3 linked regions of the Rhinolophus ferrumequinum genome follow. The main gene of each other region encodes a partner of the protein of the gene in region 2 in a complex. Links are inferred from orthologs where the notes say so. Each region holds a gene or a part of one and is shown on either strand. Other genes may lie near its edges. The genes, in order: PPME1, PPP2R5C and CRYBG1.

Evidence for each region.
Region 1: the proteins of PPP2R5C (region 2) and PPME1 are in contact, whole or in part, in a cryo-EM structure (PDB 7SOY), measured with the Homo sapiens proteins. The link is inferred for Rhinolophus ferrumequinum from reciprocal best matches to the Homo sapiens genes PPP2R5C and PPME1. Residues at the interface, in NP_002710.2 of Homo sapiens: Asp180, His187, Arg188, Tyr190, Gly191, Leu194, Arg197, Ser230, Ile231, Gly234, Phe235, Ala236, Lys240, His243, Asp313, Gln341, Tyr348, Glu353, Tyr354, Glu399; in NP_057231.1 of Homo sapiens: Arg37, Lys38, Arg39, Asn192, Lys217, Val251, Glu252, Gly253, Ile254, Ile255, Glu256, Glu257, Pro345, Gln346.
Region 3: the proteins of PPP2R5C (region 2) and CRYBG1 are in contact, whole or in part, in a crystal structure (PDB 6VRO), measured with the Homo sapiens proteins. The link is inferred for Rhinolophus ferrumequinum from reciprocal best matches to the Homo sapiens genes PPP2R5C and CRYBG1. Residues at the interface, in NP_002710.2 of Homo sapiens: Lys183, Thr184, His187, Tyr190, Gly191, Leu194, Arg197, Ala198, Arg201, Glu226, Ile227, Ser230, Ile231, Asn233, Gly234, Phe235, Ala236, Lys240, Glu242, His243, Pro265, Gln266, Tyr269; in NP_001358171.1 of Homo sapiens: Pro1136, Phe1138, Ala1139, Met1140, Pro1141, Pro1142, Ile1143, His1144, Glu1145, Asp1146, His1147, Glu1149.

Annotation. Positions count from the first base shown.
Region 1 is NC_046294.1:49,200,470-49,208,344, forward strand, and holds the start of PPME1 (protein phosphatase methylesterase 1), read left to right. Parts: upstream 1-4,799; 5' UTR 4,800-4,992; coding exon 4,993-5,093; intron 5,094-7,875. Other genes in the region: C2CD3 (C2 domain-containing protein 3), read right to left, coding at 1,283-1,552, 4,319-4,373. UniProt on the Homo sapiens protein: Demethylates proteins that have been reversibly carboxymethylated. Demethylates PPP2CB (in vitro) and PPP2CA. Binding to PPP2CA displaces the manganese ion and inactivates the enzyme.
Region 2 is NC_046289.1:2,951,816-2,959,813, reverse strand, and holds the start of PPP2R5C (serine/threonine-protein phosphatase 2A 56 kDa regulatory subunit gamma isoform), read left to right. Parts: upstream 1-4,924; 5' UTR 4,925-5,008; coding exon 5,009-5,035; intron 5,036-5,852; coding exon 5,853-5,918; intron 5,919-7,998.
Region 3 is NC_046286.1:59,667,245-59,674,926, reverse strand, and holds the start of CRYBG1 (beta/gamma crystallin domain-containing protein 1), read right to left. Parts: upstream 3,010-7,682; 5' UTR 2,988-3,009; coding exon 2,740-2,987; intron 1-2,739. UniProt on the Homo sapiens protein: May function as suppressor of malignant melanoma. It may exert its effects through interactions with the cytoskeleton.

The sequences.
Region 1 (7,875 bases), on a different chromosome or scaffold from region 2:
CCATTTTACAGATGAGGAAAAGGGGGGGGGTCAGAAATGGGAAGGGACTTTCCCCAAGTCCCACAACTGATAATACCAATCTAAAGTTCAAATGCCAAGTGTAATGCATTCTTTCTTTTAGCACAGGATGCTTGAATAAATGTCTGACCTGTTAATTTCATATTAACACGTATTTTGTCTCTTACTAAAAAATTTCTAATCACTCTTCGTTTGTGAAATTATATAAAAATACCACCTGAGGATTTAAGTTTCAGGTTTACAGTACCCAGAGTATCTACGGGTAGCCTTTAAAAGCACTTATCACTTTCTACCCACTATTGTAACTAAACTGCTCTGTAAATTTAGTTAAAATTAGATATCATTCTGATTCATTTTTTTTCATTCATTTTTGCAATTCCTACAGTGGCTAGCACAATGTGTAGCACATGCTAATAATGTTCAATATGTATTTTTTGAATGACTGAATTTTTTTGTTCTTTACATTTTGACGTTTTCAAAATATTTTTCTTGATAGAACGTAAGCTTCATAAGGACCGGTTAATCTTTAATTCACCTTGACTCTCCAGTATTCTTAGCCCAACAATGTTTATGTGATCCATGCTTAACTTTTACTGACTTAAACCATATTGATTTGATAAATAACTCCACCATTCAAAATATGTTTATCTGAAAGCTTGACCTGAATAGAGAAATAACACAGTACATTTAGAATGCTTTCCTTGAACAGAAATGAAGAAATTTTGGCTCCTGGGTCCTTGTAGAACAATCCTTCCCCTCTTAAAAAACCTGTGGTACTAACTCACTAAACCATTCATTTGGCATTTAGCATGCATTATCTTGTACTAGTAGTAAATTTTACATCTATATCCTTTCCTTGAGCATAACATAAGTCCCAGAGCAGAGACTATAGTTATTACTTAAAGAAGCATGATGTGGTGAAAAGTAAGAGTTTTGCTTGCAAACAGAAGTGTGTTCAAATCCTAGTTTTGCCACTTATCGGCTGTGTAACCTTGGAGAGTATTCATTTAATCTCTCTGAACCTCAGTTTCATTGCTTATAAAACAGAAAAAACATCTATCTTGCAGGTTATTAAGGACTAGAAACAATATATATCAACTGAAAGCACATAGAATACTCTCAATAAATGATGGCTACTATAAAACCTCTTTGACTTCTCAATAATTAACAATGTCACAGATACTATGTACATAATAGTACCTATGCTAACAACATAACCACATGCTTATTAGGCCTGTAGTGAAATGATAAGACAAAAACTTACCCGTTAGATAAGAGGTAAATTGCTTTGGACCACAGCGAATAGCATAACGTGTAGTTGTTCTCACAGCTTTTGGTTCAGTCTGCAATGTGTCCCTGGGACAAAAGAGGGTTCCATCTGATGTTTCTCCCCACCATCTCACTCGGACAAGTACACATGAGGGAGGCTTTGCAATCTTCCATACGACTTTATTAACAGAAAGTTTCAGAAAGCAGCGTAGCTGACCTTCAACCAGAGGTGGCAGGCTTGTAGATGGAGGAATGTCACTCAAACCTGGGGAGGAATCCAAGAACACAAAGTAAAAATGTAGACGAAATATAGAAAACATATTATCTGTTTTTTTGAATGAAAACACAAAAAAATGCTTTAGTCTCTACAGAGAGCAGGCTTATCCTACCTATTCTAATACATGAGAACTAGCAAACCACAGAATAATCTACATGATCACTTAAGCCACCAATATCTACTTAGTATGTAGATATTGATTCTAGTTATTATAAGAACATACCAACTTAAGACATTGTCATGCAGGGTGTCATGTCGGTCTCTGGTCCTGCTCCCCACATAAGAACGCAGGACATGGTGAGGCCGAAAAGGAACACCCATGGAGCCATAGGTAGGGGAGTCATACCACTATACGCTCGCTGGCGGCTGGGTTGGAGACACAGGAAGCAGGAGCCACACTTCACAACCCTCATTGCTCTGCTTGCAGGCTCAACCACCATCTTCTTGCTAGCTCCCATTTTTCTGCTAGTGTAGCCACAGCAGTTATATTAGTGGCCAATGGCTCACTGGTTACTGCTAACGGCCAACTAGACACAGCTGATAGCCATCCAATCACAGTTGATGGCCATTTACTACCTGAGCCAGCACCTTTCCACGTGAGGCCGAGAGCCTGGAAACTGCACTCCTGGCTCTGTCCCCACAGACATGCTAATACAAACTCCTCCTTAACTGAAAGATACCATTTTAAAAATACAAATACAATGATAGGTTTTTAAAATCTCAGAAGTAGTTGAAGTTTTCTTCCAAGTACTGTCGTTTTGATTATTGCAAAGTCCACAGTCCTTAAGACATGTTATCTTTACCTAACTCTCTTACTTCAAAACCATCACTAAATTTAGAACTCCCTTCAAACTCAACTCTCAAACGATTAAGTCTATACTGTACAACTCAGCATTTCAATAAAGACCACCTTAAATCGTCTGTTTCCTTTGCTGCTAATATCACACAGCCCATGAGGACAGATTGTCTTCAGATTTATAGCACGAGCTGGCTTCATAATATTTATTGGTTTTCAGACAGATAATAAAATATAAATGAGGCAATTAATCATGTCTTTCTATAAAACTTTAATGTATCTTCCAACCAAGACTGGGAGATGTAAGAAACCATTCTTACGAGCATATTACACATACATTTCTAGTCCTCTGACTTTTCCTTTGGGGAATGGTCAGGCCTCACAAGAAGAAAATATACTGAAGTCTATAGATCAGGAATCTATATAACTAATTCTTAGGATTTTTTAAGTGAACACCCTCTCTGTTCTCTAGAGTGGAGAAAAGACCCACCATAACCTTTATGCATAGCTAGTTTCAATATAAAAATTATGCACAGGTGTTTACGTGAGCATTACTGCATATGCAGATGGTATAGAGAGGGGAGCATTCTTACGTTATTTCTAGTTTGATTTTTCTATTAACCAAATATGCTTCACCAGTTTGACATAGGGAACACCTGCATTGACTACTTCCATGTGTCTCATATCCTCCCATCATTCCTGGCAGGAAAGACACTGCTTCAAAACTTAGTTAACTTTAAACAACGTAGCTAAAATTCATTCCCAGACTGCAGCTTCAGTCCTCAACCCAATGGCCTAATGTACCATCACTATTCCCAATACCTCTTTGCGTATAATGTAAAAAAGACAGTAACATGATGGGTTTTGTTTGTTTCGTTTTTTGAGGTAGTGCTGTAGAGATTCAATTTCCAGTTTCCTGATCTGCCTTGGATTCCTAGGGTGACTGTTCCTCCAGCAGCTAACATTTCCCTACTCTCTTAGTGAACTGTTTCTCCTGGAGCATACTAACCCGATAAGGTCCTCTTGCTACACACCCTCTCATCATCTCAAATCCTTCAGAGAGCCTCATGTCCTTAACACCACTCCAACTCTAACTTACACACCATGTCACTCTCCACTCTTTCTTCCTCTTTCCCCCACAGCTATCTTTCCCAGTTCTCACCTGTAGCCCTTCATGCTTCATGACTGTTTCATGCTTCACTCACTCAACTAACATTTACTGAGTTCTGCTTCATGCTAATTCTTGGGGAGTAATGTATAAAGTGTGATTCTTGCCTATTAGGATTCCTGACATACTCCCCTCTCCAACTTATGTTTCTTCCAGCCCTACATGGACCTCCAAAGGAATACCCCTCCCCCCACCGCACGTTTAACTGTTACCAAAAACAGTCCTAATCCATGGGGATGTAATGTACACCACAATGACTACAGTTAGTATATTTGAAAGTTGCTAAAATAGGTCTTAAAAGTTCTCATCACAAGAAAAAAAAAATTTTTAACTATGTATGGTGATAGAGGCTAACTAGACTTACTATGGTGATCACTTCACAATATATACCAATATCCAATCATTACGTTGGGCACCTGAAACTAACAATGTTAATGTCAATTATATCTCAATTTCCAAAAAGTTAAAAAAATTTTCGAGAATTTTTTGTTCCCTTCCTCTAGAAGCATCCTACCTTTACCCTTTCGGTCTACACCTCTCCCTATTTATTTGTCCAGTTTGCCCCCCACGCCAGACCCTATTTCCTTACCATTCGTTGGAGGGCCAATTGCCCTCTCTTTTAACCTTCTCATTCCCTGGTTATCCTCCTTCTTCTGTCCCTTTCCCTTTTCTTTCTTTCTTTCTTTTTTTTTTTTAACAGGAGTGTGTGGAGGTCTCCCTAGAATTCCGTACACCCTGCTCCCCTGTTCCTCCCTATTACACCTTCACAACCTCTGGTCGCTCAGGTTACCTCTTTTCTTGCGGCCACGACCGCCCCCAGGCCCTTGGCCTTTTCGTTGTTTCATGACGAGGCGGAACTCTTCATCAACTCAACTCCGGTCCCAGCACCTAAGCCGTAGCCTCCCGCCATCCCTTCCCACCGCGCCTGTGTTCCTCGGCAACCGGCGCCGCTGGGCAGCCTGGGAGGCAGGAAGAAGCTGCTCTTCCTCTAACAGTCTCTGGGAGTCCGTGAGAAGGGAAGGCGCCAAGACTTCTTAGCGCTCATACACTACAACACCCAGGATGCTTTGCTACCCTACCTCTGCGGGGTTGGACGCTGTTTCTTCTAGCTGCGCAAGCGCAGAGGGATACGCCCTTTGAGGACTCCATTGCCCAGGGTGCATTGCCTAGGAGCGCTTCTCTTTCCGGCAAGAGTCGCTAAGATTCCCGGCTTGGGGTCTGAGGGCTCTTCAGACTTCGTTACCCAGCTTTCCTTGTGAGCGCTGTTGCGCACTTCCGGTGGAACCGCCTGAGGAGAGGGGGTGGAGTTTACGGAGCCGGTGGGCGGTAGGCGGTGCTGCCGGTAGCTGGGTGCTGTCCAAAAGCGACTGTGCGTCGGTAGAGAGGCGAGCTGTGACCGGTTGGGCCGCACATATCGTGGGACGAAGCTTCGGCTCCTGTTTGACTACCTGCGGCCTCCCCTTCATGTCCGCCCTCGAGAAGAGCATGCACCTCGGCCGCCTGCCCTCTCGCCCCCCTCTGCCCGGCAGCGGGGGCAGTCAGAGCGGAGCCAAGATGCGAATGGGGTACGTGACCAGTACCCCTTCTCCCTAGAGGCCAGGCCCCGGCCATTGGAGAATGGAGTCGACTATGGGCGTTTAATGCTGCACGGACAGGGAGGCTACGGAGAGGAGAGAATGTTGGCGATCGGCCTGGAGACGTTTAGATGGAGTAGAAGGCAGATTTGGGCACTAGGGGAGACGCCAAGTCCATGGAAATTGGAGGACAAATAGTATTGAAGGGACAGGGAATAAGCAAAGATTGAAGAGGCCCAGAGGGTAGTTTAAGAGATATAACAAGCCCTTCAAGAAGACGGGATGGAGGAGGTTTGAAGAAAGGGAGTACAGCTGTGATAAAGGTGGGGGGAAAGCTGCCGGGGATGATTGAAGGAAATGAAGATGACTGAGTGAAAAGTTGAGGGGAATTAGGGGCAACAACTAGGGAAAAATTTGCGAGGAGTAAGAAGACTATGAGAACTAGATATTAGAAAAGCTGAGGGGACTAGAGAACACCTGAAGGAAAGTAAACTGGGGAGCAGAAGGTTCTAGAGAAAGTTCCTAAAGGGGTAAGAGGCAGATTCAGGGAGTTAGGGGATGACTAGGAGAACTGAGAAAGCTTGGGGAAGAGGCGTAAAGAAAGATGGAGAACATAGCGAAGGAGACAGTGAAGGATAATAGGAAATGTAATGAGAAGCGAGGGTAGGGAACAAGAAGAGGAGTGATGCGGGCTGAGGAGCTTAGAGAGTGACGATGGACTTTAGAAATTGAGAAATGACGAGGAATAGGGTTTAGTGAATGGAAGTGCTGCAGAGATAATGTCTGGGAAGCGTAAGGAGGAAGATTTGGGCAATTGATTTTTGCTGGGCAATTAGGTCCGATGGAAGCTATGTACTGGTTTGATAAAACTCAGAATTAATGAAGGATTGAGAGTAGCCATTTAAAATGTTTCAGAGGAGCCGTTTACTAGGAAGAAAGCTGTGTTGAGGAGATAGACTTTTGAAACTGTAGGTTGGTGAATGGTTTGTGCCAGGTTAGGGATCTCAGTGTAGGAGAAAGCATAATGAGTTGAACGTGGGAGAGGTACTTGCTGGAAAGCAGAGAGAATTGAATAGGCAGTTGGTTTTGAGGGGTATTTGTAGTATCAGACAGGATTCTGGAGACTAGTGACTGTAGAGAAAAGGGGCAGGAAGAACACTTGGGTGTTAGGTAGTCCAGAGTGTGTTTGGGATTCTGGAGATGGGCTGGTAGAGATTCTTGGAGTAAGGACTAGAGAAGAGAAACCTTAGGTTTTCAAGAAGTATTATGTACAAGAACTAATCAAAAAGGAGATGAAGATAGGAGATGTAGTACTGTGAAAATAGGTTCTAGGAATGAAGAGAAAGCAGAGTCCTAAAAATTAAAACATTGGGTTAGGAGGCGGTGAGAATGGTTGAAAAAACCCAGGAAGGAAACTTAAGAATTGAAGTGGAGACTTGATTATGATGTACAGTAGAAAAATGGAAAAACCTTGACAAGAGAAGGTAGGTCAATGGACGCACAGTAGAAAGAGATGGTAGAAGGCTGCATATAAGGTAAGATGAAGATGGTTTTGTCTTTGGAAGACAGAAATGTAGGACTGCATAATAAGGAGGATCTGGAAACTGATCCATAACAGATTATTTGGGAAAATTAACCTGGAGTATAAAGTTAATAACTTTTATTGTTGTTGTGTATCTTAGTTGCTGCCTATCGTAATCTAAAATTTGATCTTTCAGTATACCAGCACTGTTCGGTAAAAATGTACAAAAATAATAGTTTTTTAATAGCTGTACATGCTTTAGATAAGTTTAATTAGAGCTCAGCTTCTCACTTTGTCAAAACAAGTTCTCTGAAGATGAAGAACTGAAGAAAAATACTAAGAGAAAATTACGGGAAAATCTGCTGATTAGACGATTATATAATTGTTAGTAATTTATCCTTTTTAAATAGATGCTTTCGTTTTCTTAGTTTAGGTTAACTGCTTATCCCGGAAAATAAAGTTATTTAGAAAGATGCTTCTTTATAGTATTGTGAGGACACGACCATATGTTGGTGAATTTTATTTGGTCCTCAAGTGGCTTATTTCCCTGTATTTTTTTTTTCTACTTCCTGATTGGAACATAGGCAGGCCTCATTTAATGTTAGTGATAATAACAGACTCTCCCCTAGAATCATAAAGCTGGAAGAGAGCTTTGAAATGATCTCATCTCAGCATTTCACTGTATAGTTGAGGGAACTGAGACTCAAAAAATTCTGTGTTCTGTAAACTAAACTAAGAGGCAGGGGACAAAATTTTCTCTTAATAAATGGCAAAACTGAAACTCAAATCTTCCTCATACTGAGGCACCCTAGAAGCTTGGTGGTAAGGCCCCTAAGGACTAGAACATGGGTCTCTTGACTCTGAGACCCACTGTGTCTTTTTGGATTTTTAGTTATTATTCTGAGAATACTTAGTTTGAGTTTTATATCTTATTCTTTTGCAAATACTCTAGGATTCAGTGTTTCTTTTTGCTTAGTCCTGATTTATGAAGTCTCACTTTCACCAATTTCAAAGCATCCTTCTTTATTTCTCCTACTCACTTGCTTTTTTCTTACCTTATCATTTTTTCCTACTCTCCCATCTCTCACTGTCAAGTTGGGCCTATTCCTTTGACAGTCACTTATGTGACTTACTCTCTTAACTATTTTTCATAATTTTATGCCTTCAATTTCACTAAACCTTACTTAGATGTGTTTGCATATTCAGGGTGGTTTTGAGTTTATGATTTTTCTTGAGTTTCTATAATTTTTC
Region 2 (7,998 bases):
GATAGAAGCAAAGTGGGCACCAAGGTATAAATGAGTAAATAAAATGTGGCATATCCATACGATGAACTGTTATTCAGCTTTAAAAAAGAAGGAGCTTCTGGCATGTGCTACGACATGGCTGGACCTTGAGGACATTACGCCGAGTGAAATAAGCCAGTCACAAAAGGACAAATCCTGTATGATTCCACTCGTATACGAGGTACCCACAGTAGTCAAATTCATAGGGACAGAAAGTACAATGGTGGTCGCCGGGGCAGGGGAGTACAGGAGGTCACTTCAGTTTTGGAAGATGAAAAAGTTCTGCATGTGAATATGTGAATATACTGAACTGTACATTTAAAAATGGCTAACATGGTAAATTTTAGATTATGTGTATTTTACCATAATTTTTTAAAGTTTTTAGAAAGGCGGTCTCAGTAACTTCCACTTATAACTTGGATGGCGTTTCCTCTAGAAAGGTGGTCTTTCCAGGTCTCCCAGGACAGACGTGACCAGGAATTCTGCTCAGTATGGCAGAGACTGTAGAGTTCTGTCCAGAAATTGAAGAATTTCTTCTTAAATGAAGTCTGTAGACACAGCTGTGGCTTTCATGCCCATTACTTCCTGTGGCGCTCACAGCAACCATGGAGGGGGCAAGGCAGGTTGCATCACGTCCATTTCACACGGGTGCAGACCAGCGTTTCCCCACCTCAGCACAGCTGCCATTCGGGGCAGGGTTCTTTGTCATGGGGGCCGTCCTGGGCACTGTAGGGTGTTTAGCAGCATCCCTGGCTTCTAACCACCGGATGCCGGTAGCAATACACCGCCTCACCCCTGCCCTGCTACCCAGCTGTAACAGTCCAAATGTCTGCAGACGTTGCCAGATGTCCTTTGGGGTGGGGGGAAATCACCCCCATTTGAGAATCATTGGTTTAGAGAGCTTGAGCCAAGGTCACACAAAGTCTGCACATAAACCTGAGTCTTCTCATTCCAAATTTCCCATTCTTCCCTGATACAGTTATTCTCCACTTAAGGTCCCTCGAGAGCACCCCCACCCTCTCTGGCTCCCTGGCCCTCTGGCTCCAGGCCGTTAGACCAATGGGAGGCACTGGTGAGAGAGAGGGGGAAGGAGGAGAGAAAGGGAGGGGCTGTGAGATGTGACTTTGGGGTGTTTCCTTGGATCCTCAGAACTGAACAGCACCTCACATGAAATCACTGTCCACTGGACTTAATGAGCACTTGCTATGTGCCTGGCACTGTTCAGCACTCCTCATATGGGTATTTCATGTCAGTGTAATCTGAGTTACACTTACTCCCTCCAACTCCTCCACCCCAAATCTGCAGGCACGTTTGAATGGTGCCCAGTTCAGTGAGAAATGTGTTTGATGACATGTCAATGGAAATGAAGAGAGGAAAGGTGGGGGAGTAGACGAGTTGAACTTCCAGGGCAGGGAAGGCCTCAGGGGTGACCGTGAAGAAGTTACTGCCCAAGCGAGTTCATGGGCAGCCCCTCTCCAGGAGAGGTGAGCAGCAGGGGCTGGGAGCCTGGTGGGGCTGGTGATGTGGACAGAGAAGGGGGTCTTGTAAGCACTCCCCAGGCTGAGGGGCAGACAACAGCCTAAGAGAAAAAGCAGGAGGCCAGAGAAGTCTGAGATATGGGCCAAACCACAAGCAGCAGTGGAATCAATTTCTTTCACAGACGCCAGACACCGGGAAACACACAATGCCCAAGACAGGCTGGTGTACAGAGAGACCGGAGAGGGGCATTCTGGGTGGAGGAGACCACAGCTGCAGCATAGCAAGCGGGGCTGGGTTTGAAGTGGCCCCAGAAGAGACTGTGAGAGCAGGGCAGCTGTGTCACAGGCACCTTTGAAGACAAGCGCGTGGGAAGAGCTGCTGAGGGTAGATGCAGGAAGGGTACCACGGCTGATGAGGGTCGGGGCCCGTCTTCTCTCTGCCCTACTTTGATGTACCACTTCTGCTGCCCAGAGTGAAGCACCAGACTCTGGGGCTGTGGCTGTGGCTGCAGTGCAGCCAAGGACCTAGGTCCTCTGGGGACTTCTCTGATCCCCCAGAGACCTCAGAGGTGTACACGAAGTCATCCACTGTACAGAAAAGATGAACATAGAAAAAACATTGCTAGGTCACTGGGGGCCATCTCAGAAAAGTGTTCCAGAAGGGTGGGTGTCTGAAGAAGAGGAGTTTTGTGTGCCATGGGCAGTGCCTTTAGGAATGTGGCAGGCGGGGCATCTCAGAAGAGGTAGCCCTCAGGCACATGTGCACACGCTCACACACACAGGAGTATGAACACACACAATTTCCATATTCCACTAGAGCCTATTCCGTATCCTTCTTTTGACACCTATCTTTATGTTCCTGTAAAGGTCACAGCGGCCAGGACACTGCACCATACCCAGGGTCCCCTGTGAACGTTCCATAACTAATCGTGGTTATGGGATAGCCCTACTGTGGGCACATGAAAACCAGTTCAATGACCAGTGAGGAACACGTGTGCCAGGCTATGGTGTTGGCTCCAATTTCTCTGGTTAGTATGGTTTCAAGGTAACGAGGCAGCTTTTCTGGTATCTTGCCCCTACACTTGCCCCCAAACTCTAATTGAATTGATAAATACCTAACCTGACATGCACTGACACTATCCTATCAGATCCATATTGTCATTTGCCACCTAGGACACCTCTACTGGCATGTGGCAGACATAGCTCCAACTCAACACATACCAAAACCGAAATCACGGTCCCTCAAAATGCGCTCCCTGCTGTGTGCCTTCCTCATCCCTGTGCAGCCCCAACTACACAGGTATTAGCCTGGATTCGGGTTCGCTCCCGCCGAGCAAGTCTGCCTCCTGGATGTTTGTGATCCTCCTGTTACTGCCATAGAGACGCCTCACCTGCCCACACGTGGACGGTAACTAGATCCTGGATGTTCTCCTGGCCTCCTACCTTCACCCCACCCCCAACATTCCTGCTACAGATGTCTTCTAAAGGGCAAACGTGAGCATGTCACTCACCAGTTTAATATCCTTCAGTGACCCTGAATTACATGCTAAATTACAACCAGAAAGAAGTCCAATGCCTTGGGAAGGTCTCGTAGAGGCCTTTGCTCCCATCTCCGGCCGCAACAAAATCCTTCTGTGCTATTTCCTGCTTCCAACCCAGACCACCCTCACCCCAGTCCCTGTAGACTTGCCACACGTCATGTCCTTCTGGCTGCTGGTTTTGTTTCCACCAAGGATGCAGAGCACTTGAGGACAAGGGTAGTGTCTTGTTCACCACGATCCCCGCACACACAGCGGGCATGCAACAAATGTCTGCTAGGGTGCAACACTGTATCAGGGGCTGTGATCCAAGGGTACTGGAGGCATAGACTTGTCTTGGAGAAGCTCCCAGCCCGCTTAGAGCTCCATGGTTGTACTGTTTTAGAACTACTCCTTTTTGATAAGGATTTATGCTGGATTTATTAAATTGATAGCATCTATTTTATTTTTAAAATAAAAAGTTACTAAATTAACTAGGGGCACTGCTCTACCCCTCATAGTTTAACTATTTGTTTTGGAAAAACTATTAAGCTACTTAAAAGACTAGTCTAAAACCGTTTCTTCTGCACATATAGCTGTTGGAGGCTGTGCCATTTACTTGCAGTCATTTGTCTAAAAGTGCACATCCAGATACCTGCAGGCAGAACTTACTTTCAGGACCTCCCACGACACTCCTCACTTTAGACCTTTTTTTCTCTTCTTCTTTTAGCTTTCCCAACACAGAATAACCGAAAATGCTCTGCCTGGCAACTTTCAGAAACTGAAAACCGGAGCCTAAGACAAAGTGCCCAGTTATGATCCAGAAACTTAATCATCACGGTGAGGCACCGCTTCTCACACGTGAAATCCGTTCACTCCTGGAGTCTTACTACCTCAGCTATGTTTTCATCTCCATGCCTGTCATCAGAGTCTCCAACAGGTTTTGACACTAGACTGTGGAAGTAGTCTGGGTATCGAAATTAACCTTCTTCCCTTAGTAAACTCATCTCCCCAGAGCTATTAGTGAGATAACAAATCGCGTGACTACTGGTTATAATGCAGAGACTTCCTCAAATGGTTTATGATCAAGCCAATGGGAAGAATAAAATAAAACCCCATTCGCGCTGGGACCTCGGGGCGGGGTCTCGGTGAGCGGGGCGGGCATCGGCGGGCGGGGCCTACGATGGAGGGGGCGGGGCGGGCACCAGTGGGCGGGGCCTAACGAGGCGCCGCGAAACCGCCGCCCCCAGACTTCCTAGTCACCCCCATGCGCTAGAGCGCGGGCGCTTTCAAGTTCGGCAAGCACCGCAGTGGCGAGGGGGCGAGGCCGGGAGGCCGCCGTTCGCCCCGGGCCGCGTCCGGCCGGCTGCAGAACTTGTTGCCAGCCGTTTGAAAAGTGCCTTTTCCGTGTGTCTCCCTTGCACCCTGCTGTCTCCGTCCCGCACCTCCACCGCGGGCACCGGACCGTCGCCGCAGTTGCAGCCCCACGCTCCCTCCCCAGACTCGCCTGAATTCTCCCGGCCGGCCGCTCGCCGCAGCCGACGACCCTGCCGCACGGCCTGTGGATTCCAGCAAGAGCGCGGCGTGGGAACGAGAGTGGGACGAGGCCCAGCGCCGGAGGCGGGGATGCGGAAGAGCGTTAGGGCACGTGAGGGCGTCTGGGCCAATGGTAGGGCGCCTGGCGGCGGAGGGGCGGGATCTGCGCGGGGGCAGGGCGGGGAGCGGGGCTGGGAGGCGGGCGGGGGGAGGGGAGGAGAGCGGAGGGGCGGAGCGGGGCGGGGAGGGCCGGGGAGAGACGCCGCCGCTGCCGCTGCCGCTGCCGCCGCCGCGGCTGCCGCAGCCTCTGGGAACCTGGAAAAGGGGAAGCGCGAGCCAGCGAACGGCTCAGTCCCCGGGCGGCTGCGGCAGCGACGGCGGCGGCCGGGAGGGCGCGACGGCCGGGGCGGGGGCGCTGCTGCTGCGGGGGGCCGGCGGCGGGGGCGGCCCGCACCAGCCATGCCGAATAAAAACAAGAAGGAGAAAGTGAGTCAGGGCCCGGGCGGGCCGGCGGGGAGGCCGGCGGGGACCTGCCCAGGAGCCGGGCGCGGCGGGGTCGGGGTCCTGCGCCCGGACCTGCGGCCCCGACGCCGGGGTCCTGAGGGCACCAGGGCGCCGCTCCGCCTGCTCCCGGAATGGGGGGCGGCCCGGTCTGGGCGGGGGTCCTGACTGCGGCGTGGGCGCCCGGGCAGTGCGCGCGGTGGGCGTGAGGGGCAGGTGCAGCCGCCGAGGTGGTTGACCAGCCTCGCAGAGCCTGGGAAGGGGCTTCAGGGGTGGGGGCCGCAGACGTAGGCGGGACCCGGCCCGGAAGAAAGGGAGCGAGCGAGTGCACCCCGCTTGATGTTTGTGAAGAGTCGTCTGCTCTGCAAAGGGACCCATTGAGGCTCTGTTACCGGGGTGGCGGCGGCGATGGCTCCGGGTGCTGCGTTTGCGGGGGCGTGTTTGTGCTTCAGGCAGGGCTCTGGGACCACCTCGGGGATCCCCGCTCTCAGGGTTTCGGGGGGATGTGGGTCTTCAAAATGCTGCGAGCACTGTGTACATTTGCGTTTATCTGTTTTTGCTTAAAGTTTTCAACTTCAAACACAGATAAAACGAGGGGAATCTGGATGGTGGGGGGCAGGGTGGCGTCTATCTTAGTTACATCTCTAAACAATATGATATAGGGTTTGATGGTATTGATTAAAACTGTCGTTAAGTCCTGGTTAAATTGTATAACTCAATTTTAAAACTGCATTTTGATTTATCTGTTGTTGAGCAGTCTAAAATTTGAGAAGCCTAATTGATTCTGCTTGATATTTCCCAGGAATTGCCAAAAGCAGGGAAAAGTGGAAAAAGTTCAAAAGAAGGACAAGACGTAATTGAACCAGAGGTAACTGTTCTCAAACGCTCACTTCCCGCTTGTTTATAAACAGCTCTTAACTTAGGATAGAAAAACGGAGGCTGATAAAATCTAGGGTTTTGTAATGTTTCCCTATATGAGATTTCCCCCCAGTGTCTTTCATAGCCCTCAATTTTAGTTATTTAGGTTTTTATAATGCTTTGGTAAAATATGAATGTTTCTATGAATATTATGCGTATCTGTGCTGCTGGGATTTTAAAATTCACCCTTACCCCACCCCCATTGCTCCCCCACCCCACCCACATCTAGCAGCGGTCCTGTAGAGACTGGTTGGTTCCACAGCATCTGTCTCAGCTGGACTTTTTCATGTTCCTTTTAGCTTTCCATCCTCCCACTTCCTTCCTTTGTAAGTGGCCAAGGTCCCTCTCTCCTGGGCTTATCTCCTCCTTCCACCGCCGTAGCTTTCCTCAGTGCTGTCTTTGCTGCTGGTTTTCTGGGCCACCTCCTTTTCTCTGTTGATGTCTGGTCCCCTTTAGTCTCTTTCCCCAATAGTGTTGGTATATTTTGGTTTATCTAGTTCGGGTATTTCTGTACAGTCTTCCATCCTCTTTCGCATTTTCTCTTTGTCTGCATTTGCCAATTCTGACTTCTTTTGCTTCTTGACTTTGGGCTCATTGGGTAACAGCTGCAATGCCCGGTGAAGATTGTGTTGACGTGGTGGGGTCGTGGCAGTCTCTTGACACCCTTGTGCTTTGAGAGCATTTGCAGAGCCAGCCTTTGGCGTTGCCTTTTCTTCCTTGTGACTACTTGTTGAACTGGAGCACATCGGGCTAAGGGTCCAGGAGTGGTGTGGACCCAGGCAGAGCTAATAGGCCCTTTTGAAACATTAGGAGCAGAGAAGCTGCTCAGTGTCCTAGTTCTCCAGGGCTGGATCGTGGAGGTCTCTGGTCTTATCACAGATGACATTAATTTGCAGGTGTCAGACCCCTTCCTATGTAAGCCAAATTAGGATGGTTCATTTCTGCGTGGCCATTATCTGCAGTAGCCTTTTTTTTTTTTTTTTTTGCCCCAGGTAATCTTTTCCTTATCAGTTGGTGCATTCTAAGCTTCCCTCCTCTTGGTAGGTGATTTATTCCAGCAAATGTGTTGCTCTCCCCAAAACAAAAAGTAGAAATCCAAACGGTTCCTTAACTGTCAATATTAGGGATGATTTGTGCCAATCTTTCCCTGCCCTTTCTTTATAGCAGACAATCGAATTTTACTGTCATTCTTGTATTTGATTTGCTTATTTGTCTAAATTGCTTACTTCCGTGTCAATTTAGATTAAATTGATTTAAATGAAATTTAGTCTCTCTGGAAGAGTGTATACTTTTTCTTTTCTCTTTTTAATTTGTTGATCTTTCATTAAAACTGCTAGACGTCCTTCCTAGTGCTCCCCAAATCTTTCTTGCTCACGTACCTGTGTCCTCTCACTTGTTAGTGTCCCAAAGAAGTCTCAATGAGTATGGTTCATTTATTCCTGTTTTAGCAGAAAGAACCCGGCTGAAAGGATGGAAAAGATTAAGTTTGAACCTGAAAAAAATCCATCAATAACTGAAAGATACCAAAACCACTAATAATGTAAATTACGTGTTTTTAAGGTGGATTGGGTTCCTAGAGTGTCAATTGCTTACGACCCTTTGAAGTGTGGCCTGCAGTGTCTGAATGTGATGCCCCAGTTGTCTTTTTGTATTTTTTCTAGCGCTACTAAGAGCTGGAGCTACAGAGCTTGAAATTACCACTGAAAAATACTGAAATGTGGGCCCTTCACTACTTCCTCCTAAGGATACCAGAGGCAACATGGCATGTTAAGCATGACACTGGCAGATGACCGTGTAAATTATTTTGCAGGAATACAAATTAAGGCTCTGCAGTTCACTTGAACTTTGAGTTGAACCTTACTTTTTTATTGTTGTTTTTCTCTTCTCAGTCTTCATTTCACTTCTTCACTTCTGGTTCCACCCACTTACCAAACATGATTGACTCAGGCAGGTGAATTAAACCATTATTGCACACTCTTTTTCTCTCCTTTTCTCAGTGTTACCCTGAACTTGTGAATATTTTAACCTGA
Region 3 (7,682 bases), on a different chromosome or scaffold from region 2:
GTGTCACAGTAAGTAGAACAGGGACATTGTTCCTGAAGAGCCCATACTCTGAATAAATTGTCTACAAAATAGAGTAAAATTCAAAACCTAATAAATGATAGTGTCACTAGTGGCTACTAAGGAAAGTTGGCCAATAGCTCACCATGCCCTCTCCACACACACCACCGGGCCGCTGATCTCAAGAGACTAATGGGAGACAGGAGGCGTGGCTGGCCCAGGAGGGTAACAGCTCTGTTTCTATGAAAAATAACATTAACATGTTTACTGAAACCAAGGTGAAGAAAACCTTTAAGGGTGAATTTTAGGAAAACAGGCAGCCATGTTCAAGTCCTTTTACGTAAAGAAAGAAAGTAACCATCGTTAATTTTCAGAACATCAACACTAAAGGCCACAAATATTTGCAGAATACAGAAATCTGACATCAATAAACTTTGAAACATCATTGGAATAGTAAGCTCTTCTAGGAAGAAAAGCATTTCCCCCCATCTAACCCTGTTTTTTTTTTCCATTTCTTCCATTAAATCTTTGCATTAATAATGATGATGATGATGATGGTTTTTACATTTACTGAATTCCTACTTTTTGCCCAGAAGTGTGATAAAAGTTTTACATTTTATAACATAAAAACTCATTTGATATTCACGACAGCCCTGCAGAGTCAGTATTACTATTTCCTCCATTTTCCAAATGAAGAAACTGAGACTCAGAAAGGTAAAGAAACTTGTCAAAGGTCACACAGCCATTTCATTTTTTTAAAACCTAAAAGCTCATAATATTAACCGTATGTGCCCAGCAAATGCATGTAGCCACCTGACTGTCCCACTCTCATGTAGAGACAAAGGCCACAGTGAGGGCTGCACATTCTGCCCGAGTTCCACCACCTCCAAGTCCTGGACAGGGTCAGATGGCTCAAGAGAGCCACACTGGCCAAAGACCGACCAACCTAAGAGCACTTTGACCACTCTCTTTAGACTAGAAACAGGTATACTCTCTCAGAAGTAAATAAAATATTTTAAAAGATGATTTAACTAGAAAAACATCCCAAAGACAGACCAGTATGTTTAGTTTTCAGAACATTTGTCCGTACAAAGTTCATCATAGTTCTGAAGGGAAGCATAGAGGGCTCCAAGACTGAACTAAAATACAAGAGGCTCAAGGAGAGAAGCAAAAGTTCCTGTTTTAAGTTTTAGTTTAAAATGTATTTGCATTTGAATAAATGGTCCATAGGTATGAATGATTACATCTGGATAGACAGCAAATGATAGGGCTACATCAGATAAGAACGACCCCTATGGAAATATTTAAACTATTTACTGAGGGAATAGGAAAACTAGTATGAAGTAACATTTTGTTAGAAATTTCAATTCGTAATGAAGCACAGCATGTCTTTGAATAGATAAAAATATGTTCTATTACAACCAATTACTGGATAATAAAGTGAGAAAAAAATAAAATGCCTTCTCTCTTAGTACTTCTCTCCCTACCCCCTCACACATACTCAGATCACGCTGAACCACTTGCGCTTCTGAGGAAGTACCATGCTCTTCCGAGTATTGGCGATGCTTCCAGTATCGCCTCTGCCTGGAACTTGTTGCTCCTCCCGGATCTGACTAAGCCACTTCAGCTATCCTCCTCCACGAAGCCTTCCTGGATCCCCTACTCTGCGCTAACATCTATCATAGCATTTATCCCACTGTTCACTTTTTGGTCTCCACAAGAGACTAAGAATTCTTTGATGGCATAGACCCCTCTCATTGTTTTTTTTACAGCCCAGCATTTAGTTAAGATGCTCAATAAAATTTTTACTAAATGATTGAAAACATATTGCAAAATTCAGACTTTTTTAAATCTGAAAGGAAAAATATATCTAAAATGCAAATCTTGTACAATTTTACTCTGGCCCTCATTTTTCTTGAGAGTGTATTTTAAAAACACACACAGAAGGAATTACTGGACATTGCCCACTGTCCTTCATTAAAAACCTTTTATACCTCCAAACCACATAAATATACTGTTACTTCAAACTGATTATTATGCAATAAATGTAACAATTCAGATAATGCAATTGAATAATTACACATATAGAAGAAAATCACCACAAAATCATGATAAAGATTTAAAAAGCACAATGACAATTATACTTTGAATAACTCGGTGCTGCCTCGTTTTTGCCAGGTATTCCAATGGGGACAAGCCATTTAACCCTTTGGCCTCAGGTTCTCCACCCATAAAATGGGGGTAACCACCCCTGCCACTTCCTTCTCCGTTCCGATATCGCCAGGAGAATGGAGATATAAGAGCTGTAAGAGTGGGGATCTTCACAATGAAAGCCCCATTATCCAACGTATTATGTAATCCCAAGGTAGAGTTGCTATCATCATTCATTACGACCTTTCACTCTCCTGCTCTTGTTAGCAAGTTGGTAGGGTAGACTTGCAAAATTCTTTGCCAGTCAAAATCAAGGCCACCTGGGTGGGCACAAGTTCCCCTCGCTGGTGCTTGGTCTGAGCGAGAGGCAGCAACGAGCCTGAGCACCCCGCCACCCCCCACACAGAGGCCACGACTGCGCCCGTCTGGACCCCGTTACACTCCTGCCGGATGAAACAGACCCTGGGCTTGTGCCCTTCTCTAAAGGGGTTAGAGCGAGGCCACCGGTGGAGAGGACCCAAGCGTCCATGTAGCTGGAGTACCTCGGAAGGAAGAGGAGGTGCGCCTGGAGGGCTGGGGCGAGGAACTCACCTGGCCTCGCAGAGGGCCGCCGGGGGCGGGTGCGGAACGAACACCCCACAGTCAGACGGCGGAGGCTGCTGCTTCTTCTTGGGGCGCCAGATATGGAAAGGGGTGTGCTTCTTGGAGCTTCTGGAGGGGCTGGACTCCCCGGGGTCGCCCTGAGATGGCAGCGACAGTGGCATCTTCTTGTCTGCCTCCTCCTCCACCCGCTGCTCCGATGCTGCTCTCTCCGCCGCCCGGCCCTTGTGAAAGAACATACCTGGGCGCCGGCTCGCCTGCCTTTACCCAGCGCGCTCTCGGACCCCACCCCCTCGCCAGGGAGTTAGAGAACGAGGATAGAGCCCAGCAAGAACAGCACCGCTGTGCGTGCTTTCCCCGCGGAGACCGCCCTGGCGTGGCACAGTGCCCCCGCGCGGCGAAGGCGGCTCTGAGCGCCAGCCCAGGTGAGGCGGGCGCGCCAAGAGCTCCAGGTAAGCACGACGCAGTCCGGGTCTCCGGCTCCCGGGTCACGGCTGCTGGGGGTGGGGGCCCCGACACCTACTGGAATCCCTGGGAACTGCGTCTCCAGACTGCATCCCCTCCTCTAGACTGGGGACCAGAGCTAGGTCTGATTTTGACAGCATCTCTAGTGCATATGCCATCGGTCGCCTGCAGAGTTGGCCGCTTGCGGCCTGTGCCAGTCTGGCAAGATGAGTGGCTTTGCCATGAGCCCCGCCTGACGAAGGATGGGAGAGGCGCATCCCTTGGCCGGCCCACCCGACAATTAGGACTATTCCTATCTGGCCCTTGGGTGGCTTGGGCAATATAGTCGTATGCTGGCTGGCTTCGGTTCCTGTTTGTAAACACGGGTGCCAACTTCTCTCCTCTCCCTTTGAGAGTCAAATAATTAATTTGTACTTGCATCTCATAAAGCACAAAAGGCTAAAAAACAGAAGGTAATTAGGCATATTGCCCCGTTCCCAAAGGGCTTAGTAGATCCCTCATTGCGAATTAAATGCCAGTCCCACAAGGTTCTAGTCTTCTGCTTTACTACTAATGATTTTCTTTTCTTAACCTCACAATCGTGGTTAAATAATAAAGGCAACTAATATTTAAGCAAAGGAAGTACATGAACAATTGTTTTGGGCATTATTAGAGTACAAAGAGCTCAAGATCTAAGTATTGCTTAAAAATTCAGTGCAGTACAAAGTCCCTCTTAAACTGTCTTACCTTCTTTCTTTTCTCTTGAAAGACTCAGCTCATTCACTCACTCACTCATTCAAGGAACATTTATTTGATTATTTTTATATTTATGTTTTTATCAAGGTATAACCTATATACAGTAGAAAATACACAGATTATTAGTATATAACTCAAATTTGTGGTTGGAGGTGTAAAATTATTTTAATGAAGGACAGTTGATATTGTCCCAGAAAATCCTTCAGTATGTGGCTGTTAAATAAACCATTAGAAAAATATACAGTATTTCAAAAATTTCAGAAATCTCTCTCCTGTCCCCTTCCAGTGTCTTACTCCTTCCTCCTATAAAAGTAAACAATTATTCCAACCTCTATCATCATAAATTAATTTTGCCTCTTCTGGAAGTTCATTTAAGTAGAATCACCATATGTACTTTTTTGTGTCTGGTTTCTTTTGCTCAATATTAGTCTATGAGAATCATCCATATTGTTACATATAGCTTTTCATTTTTAAGAAAAATTATTATGCACTATTCCATGATATGAATATACCTCAATTAATGTATCCATTCTGTGAATGGATACAATTTATGTATCCATACTGTGAACGGACATTTACAGTTTCCAGTTTGGGGTTATTACGAATAAAGCTGATGATGAACCTTCTTAGACATAAGCATTCATTTCTTTTGGATATATACCTAAGAGTTCAATCTCTGGGTAGTAGAATATGCATATGTTCGGTTTTAGTAAATTTTGTCAAGCAAGTTTCCCAAATGGTTGTACCAATTTATACTCCTTTCAGCAATGTTTGAAATTTCCAGTTTTTCTGCATCTTCATCAACACAATATTATCAATCCTTATTATTTTGGTCATTCTGATGGGGGTGTAGTGGTATCTCATTGCAATTTTAATTTATGTTCCCTCAAGAAATATTTGTTGAGTTTATTGAGTACTGATTATGTGCCAGGCCTTGACTTGGGAGAGGGGCCTGACTGACAGATACATGAAAGGGTAAGAGAATAGGTAGAGGTATGTACCAGGCATTATGCGAGTTTGAAAACATTACTAACCCAGCCTGGGTGTTTAGGAAGGAGGAAGAGGCGTGATCTGTAAGGATTTAGTATTAATATAAAAGCGGCCCTTGAATTGAACCTTAAAGGGCAAAAGGAACAGCAAGAAAAGGGGAAGAGAGGGAAGAGGGAAGAAGAGAAAAGAGAAGCAAAGGGGGAAAAGAGAAGAGGGGAAAAAGGAAGTCTTCTTGTGCACACTTGCTGAAATATTTACAAGTTCAGTAATTTAGTCTTTCATTCCTGACTCCTCCAAGCAGAATTCTTTATGCCACCCCTCCTTTGTGCCACCAGTGAATCTGGAACACATTTCAGTTATCACACTATTCACATTACGTGGACATTATTTATTTACATATCTGTGTCTCTTATTAGCCTGAGAGAAACTTAAGGACATTTCTCACTGACTTTTATATTTTCAGGACATGAATCCCATTAAGTGAAATAATTAATCAAATGAATTGGTATACTAACCTAATTGGATACCTAAAATGTTTCAGGCACAGACCTTGTATACTGTACACTTTATAAGAGCAAAGATCACAATGTGTCTGTTTTCACTATTACATCCCCAATGACTAGCATATTGCATGGCACAAAATAGGCACTCAATACATATTTTATATGAATCATAGAATATATTGGAACTATGCATAGAAGCGTAAGATACAGTATTTGTGATTAATCTAGTGAGGGATATAAACACTTAAATACAATACAACTTGGTATAATAAAACTTGATATGTTCTAACCAAACTGTTTCACTATTTGTCAGTCATTGCAAAAGCAGATCCACTCAAGCTTGTTTAAGCAATAAATTAATTTGTCACAGCATATTAAGTGGCTTATAGAATACCCCACAGAGCCAAAGAGCGAGAGACTCTGAAGCCCAAACATGCCCTGCCACCCCATAAAGCTGGTCTAACAAACACCACTCTCACCACCTCTCAGCACTAGGGGCTACGCACCAGCAGCCCTGCTACTGCCACCCCAAGAATCAAAGTCCTATTCTGACCATTCTTGGCATATCAGCTCCCCACCTTAACCTCCTGACATACATGTTGCTCACTTCTGGGGAGAAAAAAAAAGTTCCATGCTCGTATATCTGACTGGGGAAGCCTGGGCCATTTAACAGCTTTTTAGCTACACGGGAAATTTAAATTTTCTGGTTTCTACTTCAGAGAGATGGAATTCACGCAGCTAAAACATAGCACAGGTATTCAAAAGAGTAGGTGGCCAAAAGCATGAAGATGGTCACTGCTGAAGGAAAGGGCAAAAGGCTATGGGAACATAGAAGTGACAACTCTAGATGGCTCAGGGAAGTCATTAGCAGGGATGTGACAGGTTCATGAGCTATGCTGATGAATAAGAATTTACCAGATGGCGATGAAAGTGCTGGCAATTCAGAAAGAGTAAACAACATGGGCGGAGGCCCAGGATTGTGAACGGGTATGTGTTGTTGGTGGGGAATAGTGTCAGTGAGATTGGAGAAAAGGGGGATGGGTGGGGCAGAGTGGAAGGAGATGACATTGGTAAAAATCAGGTGGGCCAGATTGCTAAGCACTTGCTAAACCATGCTTTTAAGGAATTGGGACTTGACTTTGTAGGCAGTAGGACTCCGCTTACATTTTTTAGTAGAAGAGTGACATGATCAAACTTGGGTTTTATAAAGTGTACCCTGAATGGAGTGGAGTCAGGAGAAACGAGTAAGGTAAAACTATTTGAGGGAGATCCGTTAAGGGGTTGCTGTAAGAAGTCAGGTGAGAGGTGATGGGAGCCCGCACTAAGGCAGTGGGGTGGGAGTGGAGAGGAGGGTATGAATACAAAATACATGTAGGAGATGCAATCACCAGGAATTGTAGTGAACGAGAGAAAAGCAATCTAGGATAACTATGAGGTTAATTTTCTAGCTCAGGCAAATGGATGGAGGTGGAAGCATTAACTGAAAACAGGAAAACAGGAGAAACATCAAGGTCTCTGGGCATAAAAATAAATTTGGTTTTGAACATATTGAGGCTGAAGTGCTTGGAGGCTGCTAAGGCAGAGATATTTAATTCATTGAAAAAATATGGTTCTGAAGGTCACAAGCCAGGACTGCACAGGTAGATTTAGACATCATCACTAAATAGGTGGGAGTCAATGCCATGAAATTAGATGAGATTATCCAGAGGAAATGTGTAGAAAAAGGAAAAAAGAAGAGCAAGGACAAAACCCTAACATTAACACTAACATTTACGTATTTTGCAGGTAAGGGAGAGCCTACGTACAACAGAGGCCAGACATAGCTGCTGAAGAGGTAGAAGGATATCTGGGGCAGAGCGTAGCCCCTCAACAAGGTCATGTGATTTCTATTTTCAAGATTTTGCTAGATAGATAGAGGTAGGGTCCTCTATCTTATAATGCCCTGTTCACTTCTCTCCCTCTGTCCAGCAATCTGAAGTCCATTTCAAATCTCCACTCATCCTCCCTTCAACCTACGCTGATTTTTTTCTCTCTCTCTAATGTTCTGTTACACTTTCTATCTGAACTTAAGTTGACATTATGGTAGATTATAAAAATGCCCACAATTTTTCACTCTTCCCATAAAGAAGCAGAGTCTATTTTCTCACTGCCTAAATGTGGGTTGGCCATGGGACTTGCTTTGGCAAATGAAACGTTAGCACATGTGAGGCAAAGCAGTACTTGAAAAGAGCTTTTACATTG